Linked DNA regions of Caenorhabditis elegans. The protein of the gene in region 2 purifies or fractionates together with the protein of the main gene of each other region. This does not show direct contact. Each region holds a gene or a part of one and is shown on either strand. Other genes may lie near its edges.

Region 1 (7,659 bases), on a different chromosome or scaffold from region 2:
CATTCAAAATTCTTGAATTTGAATGGAAAATTTTGCATTTTTTGCTTTTTTTTTGGCGAAATTTTTGAAAATCCATTTTTCTGGGCTGAAAACTCTCGAAATTGCTAATTTTTAGGTCAAAATGTTCAAATTTTTACAATTTTCAGCTCAAAAATCCTTGAAAATGCTCATTTTGGGATTAAAAGCTCCAAACTTTGATTTTCTGAAATTTATCGAATTTTCGGTCAAAATCTTCAAATTTTTCCGATTTTCGGCTTAAAAGTATCTGAAAATGTTCATTTTTAGCTGAAATCGATCGATTTTATCGATTTTTAAATCAAAATCTTCGGATTTACATGATTTTTGGGTCAAAATTTTTGAAAATCCATTTTTCTGGGCTGAAAACTCTCGAAAATCATCATTTTTGAGGTCAAATCGCTCAGATTTTTACAAATTTCAGCTCAAAAATCCTTGAAAATCCTCATTTTGGGATTAAAAGCTCCAAGCTTCGATTTTCTGAAATTTATCGAATTTTCGGTCAAAATCTTCAAATTTTTTCGATTTTCAGCTCAAAAATGTCTGAAAATTTTCATTTTCGGGTCTAAATTTTTGTAAATCCATTTTTCTTGGCTGAAAACTCTCGAAAATCATCATTTTTTAGGTCAAATCGCTCAAATTTTTACAAATTTCAGCTCAAAAATCCTTGAAAATCCTCATTTTGGGATTAAAAGCTCCAAGCTTCGATTTTCTGAAATTTATCGAATTTTCGGTCAAAATCTTCAAATTTTTTCGATTTTCAGCTCAAAAATGTCTGAAAATTCTCATTTTTGGGTCTAAATTTTCGAATTTTTCCGATTTTCGCCTCAAAAATCCTCCAATTTCTCCAAGCAAGTCAAGCAGCAGCACCTTATGAGTATTCTCCCACATCTCTCGAATTTTTCGATTAATCTCCTGTCTCAAATAGATTGCCCACCAATCCTTCACAACTTCTTCTCCATCATCTCCTCCTCCACCTTCATGATCAATCGATACTTCAATATTATCATCAATAATCGGTGGTTGAAAATGCTCCATTTCTTCCCATTCATCTTCCGACGACGACGAATCTCCCGCCGTGTTTTTCTCGTCGTTTTTCTCCGATTTTTTCACATTTTTTTGAGATTTTTCAAATTCGACGGGATCCAGAACTGCTGCATCCAACAACGAGCGGCCCGCGAAATAGGCTTTTTTCATCATTTCGTGCAGTTTGTAGGCCTCGTCATACGTGATTTCTTCGATTTTTCCACGTGCTACGTAGGCGTGTGCCACGTGGCGATATTCAAGCATACGACGTTCACCTTTTGCCAATTTACGATCGGTTTCGTAGTCTGGAAATTTTGGAAAATTTTATTTTTTTTTGTGTGATTTTTTTTACAAAAAATCAAAAAATTTTAATTTTATTCTGAATTTTTCAAATTTTTATGATCAAAAAATTAAAAATCATAATTTTCCGATTTTTTTCATTAAAAATTCCGAAAAATTGACTTTTTTTGAGTTATTTTCAATTTTAAATTTGAAGAAGCCTTTTTCTCCGATTTTCAAAATTTTAACTTTTTAATTTTAACAATTTTAACAAAATTTTAACCCAAAAAATCTGATTTTCTCTGAAAAAAAATCGAAAATTTCGAAATTTTATGCTTTTCATGCTTTTTTATGCTTTTTTGTGAAAAGCATAAAATTTCGAGATTTTCGATTTTTTTTCAGAGAAAATCAGATTTTTTGGGTTAAAATTTTGTTAAAATTGTTAAAATAAAATTTTGAAAATCGGAGAAAAATCGGCTTCTTCAAATTTAAAATTGAAAATTTGCTCAAAAAAACGTCAATTTTTCGAAATTTTTAATGAAAAAAATCGGAAAATTATGATTTTTAATTTTTTGATCATAAAAATTTGAAAATTTAGTTTTTTTTTTTTTGGTTTTTTTTTTCAGAGAAAATCGCCAATTTTTAGCTTTATCTGTCAGAAGAGGCTGCTTGGCAGATCAGAAAATTTGGAAATTTTCACTTTTTTTTCGATTTTTCACCAAAAATTCGCAAAATCGAACCAAAAATGACCGGCTATTACTGAAAATTGAATTTTGTTATTTTTTTCTTAAAAAAATCAATTTTTTTAAAATTATTATTTTTCTTGAAAATAATTTAAAATTTTCGATTTTTCTGTTTCTTTTTTGGATTATTATTTTTTTATTTTTTAGCAAAAAAAATCGAAACTTTTTTTTTAGAAAATTAGAAATTTTACAGATTTTTCGGCTTTTTCCAAATTTTGAAATTTTTTTCCGGTAATTTAACATCAAAATCTTTAAAAAAAAAATTTTTTTTTTTGAAATCTATTTTTGATCCTAAGATTCCATACATTCTTTTTTAGAAATTTTTAAAAATATCGTGTTTTTTTTCTTTGTTACCGAGAAAAAAAGTTTAAAAATTCGTAAAATCTGCAGGCAAAATTTGGAATATTTGACACATTTTTTAGAGAATTTTTCTCCAGAAAACACCGATAAACGAAAAAAATTTTAAAAATTTTTTTCGGTAATTTTTTAAAATTTTTCTAAATTCGGACTAAAAATGACCGGAAATTATTGAAAATTAAAATTTTTCCGAAAAATTTCAATTTTTTCATCAAAAAATTGGACATTTTTCTAAAAAAAAAAATTAAAAATCTTTTTTTGGATTTTTTAAATCGAAAATTGGACAATTTTCAAAAAAAAATCCCTTTTTGGTACAATTTAAATTTTTTTTAAAATTTAAAACAAAAAGAAATCTCTTGAAAAAACAAAAAAATTTTTTTTTTCAAAAAATAAAATCGATTTTTCGAATTTTTCTTCCTGGAAATTTTTTCAAAAATTCGAAAAAAAAATCCAAAATAGGGGAAAAACTCATTTTTGTAACAAAAAATCGATAAAATATTGATTTTCACCAATTTTTTTGATTTTTTCTCAAAAAAATCCAGAATTTTTTCAAAAATTTGGCAAAAACAAAATTAAATAATTTGATTTTTCGCTTTTCGACGCTCGAAAGTTTTTTTTTGAAAAATATTCCAAAATTGGTAGAAATCTCTCATTTTTTTGCAGTATTTTTCCGACTTTTTGCAAAAAATAACTCGATAATATATTGATTTTCACACCAATTTTTCGATTTTTTCCACAAAATTTTCACCTTTCAAATTTTTCTTCCACGGCTGATCGGGTTTCTGTTTCTGAGCCATTCGAAGACTCGATTTTGCCGGCTTTTTCGCCGCGTTTTTGCTGCCTGGATTTCCAGTTTTTCTAGCGATCGATGCTTTGGAGCATTTTGGCCAGTGAAGGTCTTTTGTGGTGGCTCCGCCGCTTGACAACGTTGATTTTCTCTGAATTTTTCGTCGTTTTCTGGGCTCCGAAGGTCCTGGAATTGAAGGATCCTCCGATGCTTCAGAAGCTTCAGACTCATCGTCGGGGCTCTCCGAGCTGCTCTCAGATTCCGAAATTTTGAACGATTTTTCGCGTTTTTTCGCAATTTTTGAGCCAGTTTTCGGACGAATTTCAGTGTCCTCGTCTTCTGAAGAGGATTCAAGTTCGGAGCTCGATGAGCTCAACTCCAATTGATCATCACTTGGCACGTAGGACACTTTTTTGGCGGTTGTGACTGATCTACGTGGGCGGGAAATTCGATTTGGAGCATTTTGAGCCAATTTTGAGCCATTTTGAGCCGAAAAATCCGGTTTTTCGTCAGATTTTGAAGATTTTACGCCATTTTCAGCCCGAATTTCCGGATCATCTTCGATAATTGCAACTTTTGAGCCATTTGTAGTAGATTTTGGAACACTTTGAACCAAATTTTCCGATTTTTCATCGCTTTTCACCACCCTTGAGCCATTTTTCGAGGATTTTTTAGCCAAATTTCCTGGTTTTTCATCAATTTCCATGCGATTTTCTTCCAAAAAATTCGATGATTTTGAGCCATTTTCAGCAGAAATTCGCAAATTTTCATCGATTTTCACCAATTTTCGGCCGTTTTTCTTGGACTTTTGCACAACAATTTCAGCTTCTTCTTCGTTCTCCAACTCGAATCCCATCTCGTCGAGCTCCGCTTCGATCGGCGAACCTTGTTTTCGGCTCGGTTTTGTGGATTTTTTGGTGGTTTTTGGTGGCATTGGAGCAGTGGATGGGGCCTGAAAAAATTTGAATTATAAAGGAGTTCGGTAGAGCGCGATTGCATTTTATAGGAATTTCAGCTTTTCTCCGGCTGTAATACTGAATTTATAAAAATTTGGGTAAAAATTTATCGACTTTTGAATATTTTTAGGTCAAAAAATCACGAATTTATCGATTTTTAAAGATTTTTAGGTCAAAAAATTACAATTTTTTCGATTTTTTACTGTAAAAACTTAAAATTACAATTTTAATCGAAAAATGTGATGAAAACGAATTTTCATCCAAATGTTCTTAAGAATTCTTCGAAATTAATTATTTTTTTCTCATATTTTCGTACATTTTGGGGTCAAACATGGCCAAAGTTGCTATTTTTGGTTAGAAATTCGGCAAAATCGTCAAATTTTTTTCAAGATTTTCATGGATTTTCGCTGAAAAAATCCCCGCGGCGAACCTCGTTTTTCTTGGCTCCGCGAGCTCTTTTCACCGGTGGTTCCGATGGTTGAGGCTCCTCTCGAGCATTTAAATCAGACGTAGTTTGTTGTTGAAGACGTGAAGAACGTCTTCTGGTTTCCATTTCTGCAAGAAATTGGTGAAAAAAAATGATTTAAAATTTTTAAATTCACAAAAATCGATTTAAAAAAAGCCTTCAGATATAAGTGGATTTTCACCGAAAATTCAGGGGAAATCGCGAAAAATTTGAGCATAAATTCATGATAAGTTAGGAAAAAAAAATTTGTGGAAAAAATTTAAAATAATTTTGGAAAACCCGTTGAAATATTGGTGAATATGGAGAGCTGGGCGGCTGGGCTGGGGAAACAAAGTACATGAAAAACTGAAAGGGTAATGGTGGAAATATGGAGGGTATTCACATTTCTTAGTGGAAAATTTCAGAAAAAAATAAATACAGTACAAAATATGCGGTCGGCGGGAGATTTGAATATTTGAGTGAAAAATAGTCGTAATTTTCACGATTTTAAAGCAATTTTTGGTGCGAATTTCTTTGAAATTTTTCATTCAAAATTCTTGAATTTGAATGGAAAATTTTGCATTTTTTGCTTTTTTTTTGGCGAAATTTTTGAAAATCCATTTTTCTGGGCTGAAAACTCTCGAAATTGCTAATTTTTAGGTCAAAATGTTCAAATTTTTCAGATTTTCAGCTCAGAAATCCTTGAAAATGCTCATTTTGGGATTAAAAGCTCCAAACTTTGATTTTCTGAAATTTATCGAATTTTCGGTCAAAATCTTCAAATTTTTCCGATTTTCGGCTTAAAAGTATCTGAAAATGTTCATTTTTAGCTGAAATCGATCGATTTTATCGATTTTTAAATCAAAATCTTCGGATTTACATGATTTTTTGGGGAATTTTTTGTGTGTGGGTAAAGTGAAAAAAAGGGGGAAAAATTATGCACAAATATGTAGAAAGTAGATGTCAAAATGTTCATTGTGGTGGTCCATAACTTCCACTGGGCCCGGGGCCTCCAAATCCGAGATCCTGCAAAAAATGGGGGGTTTTTTAATGGAAAAATCAAAGAATTTTGAGAGTAAAATTTGAAATTTCCAGTGTAATTTTATGCAAAACAGAGCAAAATTCTGAATTTTAAAATGCATTAATTTTCCAATTTTCAGGGCGTTTTTTCTGGAAAATTTCAAAATTTTCTTATAAATCGTTGGTTTTTCTTTTTTTTTTTTAAATTTCAGGCCAAAAGTGCAAATTTCAGCGAAAATCGATAATTTTGGGGGGGGGGGGGGGGGTTTTTTTCAGCATAAAATTCAAAAATTTTGCCGTGTTCCGGAAAATTTGCAGCGCTAAATTTGAATTTTTAAGCTGAATTTGAAACATTTTACACATTTTTTTACTGTGTTTTTTTTTTCAGAAATTTAAGCTCAAAAATTCAAATTTTGCCTATTTTTCTGGAATTTTAGCGTCGTAAAATTCCTCTGAAATCCAACAACTTTTCAACTTTTTTTCCAAAATTTTTGTTTTTTATCTTAAATTTCAACCGAAATTCAAAAAATTTCGCCCAATTTTTCTGAAAACTTTCAGAATTTCTCGATTCTTTTTTTTTCAATAATTCCAACCAAAATCGCAAATTTTTGGGTTTAATTTCACAAAAAGTCAGCTATAAAAAACATTTTTCAGCTTAATTACAAAAATTTCAGGACTAAAACAATTTTTGCAGGTTTTTCACAAATTTTAGGGCAAAAATTCAAATTTTGGCCTTTTTCTGGAATTTGAGCTCTGAAATTCAAATTTTTAGCAGTTTTCCACAAATTTCCACAATTTTCTTTTCAAATTTCGGGCACACATACACTCCTCGCTCCAGTGGACATTCTCTTCCTCCGATTCTCCTCCGATTGTTGTTGCTGGTGTGAATCCGGTCGTTTTCTAACAGCCTGCTGCTGCTGCTGAGCTCCATGAATCCCACCAGGCGGTAGCGGGGGCACCGCGTCGAGCACATCTCGAGCCCGATCCAACTCCGAGAGGAGTCCAAGGCTTCCAAGACCATCACGGGCTCCACCACGTTTTGCCCATACTCCAAGTGAACTCTCAGTTTCAACTGGATTGATTGGAGGCACCAGTGGGAGGGTTGGAGGGCCCAGCCGAGGCGGCCCGGGGTCCAGTTCAGGGATCATCTGAGGAGCTGCTCCCGGAGCCCCAAAAGACTGCAAAATCGTCGCCAAATCAATTCCCTGAAGCTGAGGAGGAGCCGGCGGTGGAGCTGAAGCCTGCTGAACCGCTGCTGGAACAATTGGATCCAAAAAGAGCATAAATCCGGCGGTGCTCGGCGATGTCGTATGATCTACCTGATACTGTAGAACCTTGTAGCCAGTAGCATCCGCCGAATTGTGCTCAAAAGTCTTTGTGAGCAAGCCGATATACGTATCCAGTGACTGTTTTGGCTGATATTCTCCAGGTTGCCGGTGCTCTTCAGCCTGGGGAACCCGTAAAGCGTCGGCTGCTGCTGATCCTCCTGGCGGGACTCCGTACATATGGCCGACACGTGGCGAATAAGTGTTCCGACAATCGGCTGATTGTGGAAGCTCGAGCACTAGATCCTTATCGTGTGGAATTGCCATTGCACGCATAAAATCGGGGAATGCTTCTCTGAAAACTCTGGCACGGCGTTGTTGAGGGTCTTGGAATATGGGCACTGCAACTTTTTCCTCACGAGGGACGAGGAAAAGTGGTTCCTAGGCCATGGCCGAGGGGCCGACAAGTTTAAGCGGCCATTTATCTTGCTTTGTTTTCCGCCTGTTTTCTTTTATTTTTCACAGATTTTTCCCGTTTTTTCTTATTAAAAGTGATAAATAAATATTTTTTGCAGATGCTGAAACAATTTCCAAGTAAAAAATCATGTATTCAGTGGGCAAACAGCGGTGAAAGTGGGCATTGTAGTTTTGAGGTTTCCAAAATTCAACTTTTTCGGTGAAAAAGTCGAGATTTTCGCACAAAAAGTGAATTTTGAAAACCTCAAAACTCTCAAAATCAAAATCACCTCAAAATCAGGTAGTCTCA
Region 2 (7,388 bases):
CACTCAATACTAAAAAATGTGTTAAACTTGGTGAGTTGTTTGGCTTCAGAACCTCTGATACGTCAAAGTAAATTTCAGTCAAACTGTAATCTGATTTAAGACATGTGAGAATTGTAGTATAGAAGAAATATTATTCGAAAAATATCAGATTTTCGGATAATCCTAGCTCCAAGACTTTTCCAAAATTTAAAGAAAATGTAAGTTCGGAAATGTGACACTCGGTATTATACATATATTTTGTCTCTCTGTGCAGTTTGAAATTTTAAATTTCATAAACAACTTTTTTTTGTGTTTAATAAACAAATCTGTAAAATTTCGCGCTTTTAGCTACTCACTATCGCTAAATCGTACAGGGCTCACTCGGGAAAACTGCGTGTGCCTTTGAAACTGATAAGTAAAAATTTAGCAAAATTACAACGTCAGTTTTTTCCGATATTTTTTTTCCAAACTTTTCTAGTTCCACTTTCAGTTTGAATGCCGGTGCTGAAACTAATAGTGTCCAATTTCTTCGAGAAAAAAAAACCTGAAAGAAGTGGTTATAGGTTCAGATCATTAATTTTTTTGAGCAAATTTACTGTCGACATTTTTGTTTTCAATTTTTAAGATCTAAATCTGTTTCAGATTTTGACTTCTCTTTTTTTCAGCTACACATGAAATTGACGACCTCTCAGCACTTGAATGGGAAACTTCGTCGGAGCAAAGTGGACATTGAAGGAGTTCTTATCACACTAATTGTATAATTGCACATTTTTTGTATGAATTTTTCTGACGGCATTCAACTTTTTTGTTCCTGGCATCTTACGAAATCGCAAAACACAATAAAGCAAAATGTATACACACGAAAATTTGTTGAGGTGGTGCTGCTTGTGGTGGTGAGTTTTTGAATGGACATTCAGGGTAATTTTCCTGGGGGCCACGAGTGGTCAGAGCAAGGACGCAAGGGAGAAAATAGCGCGAGCGTGCGGTCAGATCTCCGAGACTGGAATAAAAGAGCTGTCAACTACTTTTTGAACACTCTCCCTTTGGCATCCAACTGCGTCTTCTTGGTCAGCTACTTATGCCACAAGTCGTAGTGGTTCCAATGTAGCAATGTTTAGTTCTTTTTTGGATGTATTAATATGTTATATTCTTGTACTGCTATATAGACTTGTTATAAAAAAGTAGTAGCTAAAATTAAAAAAAGTTTCTGGTTACTTTTGGTGTTGGATCCGTTTCCTGTCACGACCCCCGTAAGAAAAACCTTTCCACTCAGACTTTATACTCTCTTAAAATATTTCATGTATATGTGTGCATGCAAACTTGCTCCGGAAGTTGCTAAGTTTTTGAATCGCCATTTTTTGAGTTTTCATGTCGGACTATACTTTTTGTCAACCAGTGTTGCAATACAACTGCACAAAACTCCGTCATAAGATTTATTGGATCTGAAAACTGATTTCTTATAGCTCACTGACGTAATTTATTAAATGTTACGTAGCAAAAAAAGATGAAGCAAGTTTTAAGAGTAGGTCAAGTGAGTTATTGGAGGTAGACTGAGTGGTCAGAAGCAAGGTCCACCACAAAACGGAAGAGCATAAAAGGCGCACCTCTGTGGGAGGAAAGGCAAGCGCCCGTGCGGTCATCAATTCTTTTGCTGCCCACTTACCAAAAACTATACTTTTTTTGCCGAATACCACATATGTGTTATCTTTCCTTTGTTAATCATGCTCAGATGGTTTCTTTGTTGGTGTTGACTAATAGTTTGTTTCAAGTACAATGACCTTGCGCTCATTTTTTTCTTAGTATAGTTTGAGCTCTCTATTTCTGGATATTTCTACTTTGTCCATCCATTTAGGAAGTTCGTAAAATATATGTACTGTATTTACCACTTCACTAAATTTTTTTTCAACTCCCTATCACTTCTTTAAAATACGGTCATTTAAAAATTACTTTCTCTTAATTAATCAAGAATTGTTAATGGCTAATTATCAAAAATAGAGGTATATTTGTTCATTTTTCAATTTTTTTTCTGGTTTATAAAGCTCCTCTGAAATATTTTCCTTGTTAAAAAATTAAAAAATTTATAAAATTTACCGCATTTCATATTGTATGGTTCATAATTGACCTCTTCTCATAGTCAGATTGGGATTTTACAATTATTTAACAATTTGATATTTATTTGCGTTTAATTAAACTTTAATAACTTTGTACCATTGTTTTTTATTATCAATTACTGAGTTTATGCCACTTTTTGAGAAAACTATAGCTTTGCTGCATGTTTGAATCCCTACAATTCTTGAAACATAACTAGATAATACATTTTCAAAGATACATTTTTTTCCGACCGCTTTCAAGAACATTGCAAAAATAAGTAATTACCACTTTTGAAACAATGTTTTTATAAGAAAGCATTCAAAACACGTTTGAAAATTTTAAATATGATATTTGATCATTTTGGCACGATCGGAGTGGTTTTCAACAATTTCCCCACTGGCTCCACCTTGAAATGTAAAAACAACTAAAAGTTATTTTTATACCATCTACATTCTTCCAAAAAAAATTATACTCATTCCCGAAACTTGTTCTTTACTTGAAAGAACTCAGCAAGATTGATGGAAAATGATCGGAAATGGAGGTTGCGCTCGCTTTCTTTTCTTGTCCCGCAGCCTATCTTCGTGTGTTTTCTTGTTTCAACTCACCGACTATAGTTACTGACGCATTCCAAAGAGCTATTATTGCTCATGTAATGGACACTGCTAACCAATTGTTCCAATGTGCACTTTAATCGCTCCTTATACTTTTCCTGTCGTATTACCCGCCTCCCAATCATGCCAGTATATATATTTATCCGAATAATTTTTGAGATGTTAAAAATTTTATTTTTTTTCTGCAAATTTTAAAAAGGTTTCGAAAAATTTCAAACGCTTACAGATCCCAATTGAAAAGATCAACATAATTGGATGAGTGAGACATTCTGATGTTGTCTGCTCAAGAGTACACATGTAACCAGTTCCAGTCTTTCCATGCTGACCGTCTGTCTATATTTGGTCGTCTTTCCAATTTTTGCTTCTTCGCAGTTTTTATCATATGATGGTAGGTGAAGCTTCAGAAAATTCAATTTCATGTCCCAATTTTCAGCAATTCGAATGAGGGTACCAGGACGTTGTATGTTGGGTGACTATGATTGCGGGTTAGGTCAGTGTGTTCCAATTTCTCAATTTCGAGATGGAAAACCTGATTGTATGGATGGTAGCGATGAATGTAAGTACATGAAGCAATATGATTTTAAGGTAATTCACGTTTAGGGTGTTTCATCGGTCAAGTTAGTTGTGGTCCAGTTTATTGTGCAGATTACAAAGATGCACTTCCATGTATTGTTTATCCTAAATGTGACGGTTCATCAAAACAACTTCCATGGTGTTCTACGTCAAGTGAGTTCATTTTAGGTTTACCTAATAATCTCGATTAGTATATTAGACATTTGAAGGGAGTAACTTCCTGCTAAACAATTGAAAACTGCCATGGAATTTCGTTTGCCAACTTTTTTGGGCAGTTTTTAATAGAGCATGTCAATTATTTAAAAATTCAGAATATTTTTATTTTGTCTGAATTTTTGTCATTTGTCTGCAGCTAATACTCAATAGTTGGGAGAAAAAACATACGGGAATAAGTTAGTGAAATTTTAAATTTTCAGAAGAAAAACTATGTGCGGATGAAACGTCATTTCCGTGCAAAGGTTACGGAGAGTGTGTTTTGTGGGAATGGTTGTTAGACGGGAAGAAGGATTGTAACGATGGCAGCGATGAAGGTATTTTTACTTTTAAAAAATTGGCAAATTGATAAAAACAATTTTTGATCGCAATAGTATGTAGTGTTATTCTCTGGAACTAACGTTTGTAATATTGTTTGAAGAAATATTCTTGTGTGGATTAAACTGGAAATTTGGAGAGTTCAAAATCAGAATTTGTTTTTCCAGACGAAAACTATGTGATGCCTCTTGAACACGCCTATAGATGTGCCAGAAATCAATCCGGACTCTATCTCCCAAAACCAGTACCACCACCACCGGAAGATCACCCGTCTCTCTACGTGGAAGGTTGCTCAATGTGCTCGAAACCATCTACCGTCACCTTGCCATCTAATCCTGTGATAGACTATACTACTCCAAAATATCCGTTTATTACATCTCCTCTGCTGGGAAATACAAAACCACCGTTGAGTAACTTCCCAGTATTTCCAAGTGAAGAATCAAAACTTGGGGATTTCTTCCCTGAACCATCCGGTGTCGAAATATCACGAGTAACTGGCTTCCACAAACCAAATGAGCCAATAGGAGACTTCTTTCCAACACATTCATCAACACCTGTACCTCCAACAGAAGCTGTCACTCAATCTCACACATTTCGCCTTATAACAATTCCATCAATTAGCCAGACGCAGTTTCCTCAGGCTCCGCTCATTTTTCCTGGACGGCCAGACTTGCCACCCATCACTGCGCCCTCACCTCTAAACAACTGGCCAATTCCAATTGTGACTACCACACCGGACCCACACCATCAAGGCCCACTTCCGCCGATTACGTATCCAACTATAGAAGAGGGTTCGGAAAAGATTCCACCAATAAAACCGGGAATTATAATCAGCCGACCGGTCACTTCAAGAAAACCAGATCTACCATCAGAGTTTGAGTATGGAGGAGGCACGGGTGATGGAATATCGCAACCACCAGGAATGAATCCATTTGACATGCTCACTAGGCCCAGTGTTCCAATGACAACTCCAGGACCTTTTGACATGTTTCCTAATGTACCACCTGTAGACCTCCGCCCAGTTACCCGACCATGGGAATCTGAAAAAACAAAACCTTATCCTGGTGTTACAATACCGGATGAACAAAAATCCGGTACCGACACGTTAATACCATTAATTCCTGGTCGCATTCTTCCAACTTTCGCAACACCAAGACCACTCTCCATTCCAAGTTTTTTCACAACTCCCCAGTCACCCCATAGACCTTTCGTAACTCAAAATCCTCCTCATGGTGCATTACCAACACTGATCCCACAAGCCGAAATTGAGAAGTATGTGCAAACGGAAGTACCACCTCACTCTGGTTTCGAAATACCGGGAGGGGGTTTCACAACACCTGGTAGCCATATTACCCATCCTTCGAAAGTTCCAGAAGGTTTCATTGAAGAAAAAACATTGCTGACGCCTTCTACAAACAATGCTCAGACAACTCAGATAGACAGAAATCTTACACCGAAAACCACCACTTTGAAGGCTACATCTCGAACAAAAATTATTCATGTTGGACCAAACGGGGTTGTTGAAGAAATCGATAATAATGAGTCGACGAAGATTGAAAATGAAACAAATTTGGGAGAACATGAAGGACAAATTGTACCAGGATCAGATAAAGTCATACACATTGGTCCAACAGTGAAAACGACTCCAACACCATCTAGTGGTACTTCAACGATTGTCACCGAAAACAGTTCAACCTTCGAATCGGTATCGACTTCAAGTGTTCCAACAACAACAGTGAAGACAGGTGACCCACAGGTTGATGACTGCCTCCGAAGAATGTCTGATTCTGGTGGATCGGTAATTTGTGATTGTCCAAATGGCCAATTCAAAAACACTGGGAACGGGCAATGTGAAGGTATTGTTCAAAATTGTATCGCTTTAATTAATTTTGCTTGAAAATATTTCAGAAACTCTTTCATTGGTGGTTGTCAAAGTGAAGGTTAACACAGTTTGTAATACAGATAAGGCATCGCTTGAGCAAAAACAGCGGATTTTACATCAAAAGGTAGATTTGTGGGTATCAATTATTTTTCATATTGGAAGTTTTTGCAGATTGGTCAATCTTATAAATCGTGCATTCGTTCGGCGGAACATGATTCTGCATTAGTTGCTATTGTTCAATGTAGTGACTGCACTTTGCAAGAGATCGATCGATTGTTAACGACAAGATCATTCGGGGAGCCTGGAAACTTGAATCTGACTGCAGAAGGTGAGTGTGCACAGCTTATAAACCATATCATGTAAATTATTTCCAGCACTCGGCACTGATCTGTGTTCCAATTCGGAGTTCAATCATTGTCATGTTTACTCGGATTGCATTCTAGATGATGAAAATTTGCGGTATGCGTGTAAATGCAAAAAGGGTACAACAGATAGTTCGGATGGATATGGAAGGTCGTGTGAAGGTTTTCCTGAAGAATCAGAGTAAGAAAACGTGTTACATGCAAAATAATATGTATCAATTTTTAGTTGCGTGATGGTTTTCGGAATCTGTTTAATTGTCTGGCTAATTTTTCTCCTGGGATCCTTCTTCTTGTCCCTTCTAGCGTGCATAGCTTGTTATGCACTCTGTCGGAAACGATGTTGTCGTTACATTGCGATTCACCCTGCCAACGCGGATGGTTTGCAAACTGTGGTGAGCCAAGTTTCGCAAATTCGAAATTCCTAAAACTCTTATAATTTATTTTAACAGGTTGTGGGTCAAAAAGCTGCGAAAAGTTTGGAAATGGATGGAAATCGGGAAAAGTTACCTCACATGAAAGCTATATTTGCTGAAAGTCTGAAACACAGCGCCAAAGGATCTACATCTGTAGCGAGTGCATTTGCTCTGGCAGATTTCAAGCGGAAAAAAGTTTCAAGGCCTCCGGACATGAGTCAAGTTATAGAAGAAGTTAACGAGGTAAGGTTCAATGTGTTTTATGATCCATTCAGCCTTTTGAATGTGTTCAATGTTTCAGAATCCCACTGCATCCATTCACAATTCAGAGTCTTTACCGAAAGTTAGTAGCCTTGCAAAGATATCAACGCACACAGCGAATTCGGAGCCTCCAACACCCGTAGGCGTTATCGAAACTCCTATTCTTGAGAAGGTACTTTCACATCAACACTTGAAGTCAATCTTGTCCATTTTTAGAATTCAAGCTCCGTGTCTCTTGTCTCGGCAAATGACAACGCACCTCAACTTCCCAGTTTACCACTGCCGCTTCCTGTACCAATCACGACGAGCGCATCAACAACCAATTTAGAAGAGACGACGGGAAAGGAGAATGGGCGAGAAGGAGGAGGAGGGAGTCATGCATCAGCTCAGGAACAACAAGTTAGCAAAAATAAACATAAGTGTTTTTTCTCTCTCTCAATGAGGCGTTTTCTTCTAGGTGCCGGAAACGGAAAGACCAGCTTCGTCGCATTCAGTTGGTGTGCAGCCAACCATTTGGGAGACGTATCGAGTACTTGGACAACAATACTCGAAATCTGATTTGACTGGTGAATAAAATAAATTGGTATCAGTGGGTAAATGCATATTTCAGAAAGGAAAGCCAGTGTGGACTCACTCGAACAAATGTTCGAAGCAAGGCTCGCTGAAACGTCAAGAACCACCAAGA

The links. The genes of interacting proteins can lie anywhere in the genome.
Region 1: the proteins of R11G1.1 (region 2) and xpc-1 fractionate together in Caenorhabditis elegans (co-fractionation; one large-scale study listed by BioGRID). This does not show direct contact.

What each region holds. Positions count from the first base shown.
Region 1 is NC_003282.8:1,990,148-1,997,806, reverse strand, and holds the start of xpc-1 (XPC (Xeroderma Pigmentosum group C) DNA repair gene homolog), read right to left. Parts: upstream 4,719-7,659; 5' UTR 4,717-4,718; coding exon 4,594-4,716; intron 4,160-4,593; coding exon 3,169-4,159; intron 1,347-3,168; coding exon 886-1,346; intron 1-885. Other genes in the region: Y76B12C.6 (TPR_REGION domain-containing protein), read right to left, coding at 5,581-5,634, 6,453-7,257.
Region 2 is NC_003284.9:3,656,493-3,663,880, forward strand, and holds the start of R11G1.1 (EGF-like domain-containing protein), read left to right. Parts: upstream 1-2,999; coding exon 3,000-3,069; intron 3,070-3,114; coding exon 3,115-3,237; intron 3,238-3,281; coding exon 3,282-3,407; intron 3,408-3,670; coding exon 3,671-3,784; intron 3,785-3,952; coding exon 3,953-5,641; intron 5,642-5,693; coding exon 5,694-5,791; intron 5,792-5,838; coding exon 5,839-5,995; intron 5,996-6,041; coding exon 6,042-6,210; intron 6,211-6,255; coding exon 6,256-6,421; intron 6,422-6,478; coding exon 6,479-6,685; intron 6,686-6,743; coding exon 6,744-6,875; intron 6,876-6,919; coding exon 6,920-7,102; intron 7,103-7,160; coding exon 7,161-7,269; intron 7,270-7,313; coding exon 7,314-7,388. Other genes in the region: R11G1.7 (Ovule protein), read left to right, coding at 1-30, 645-712.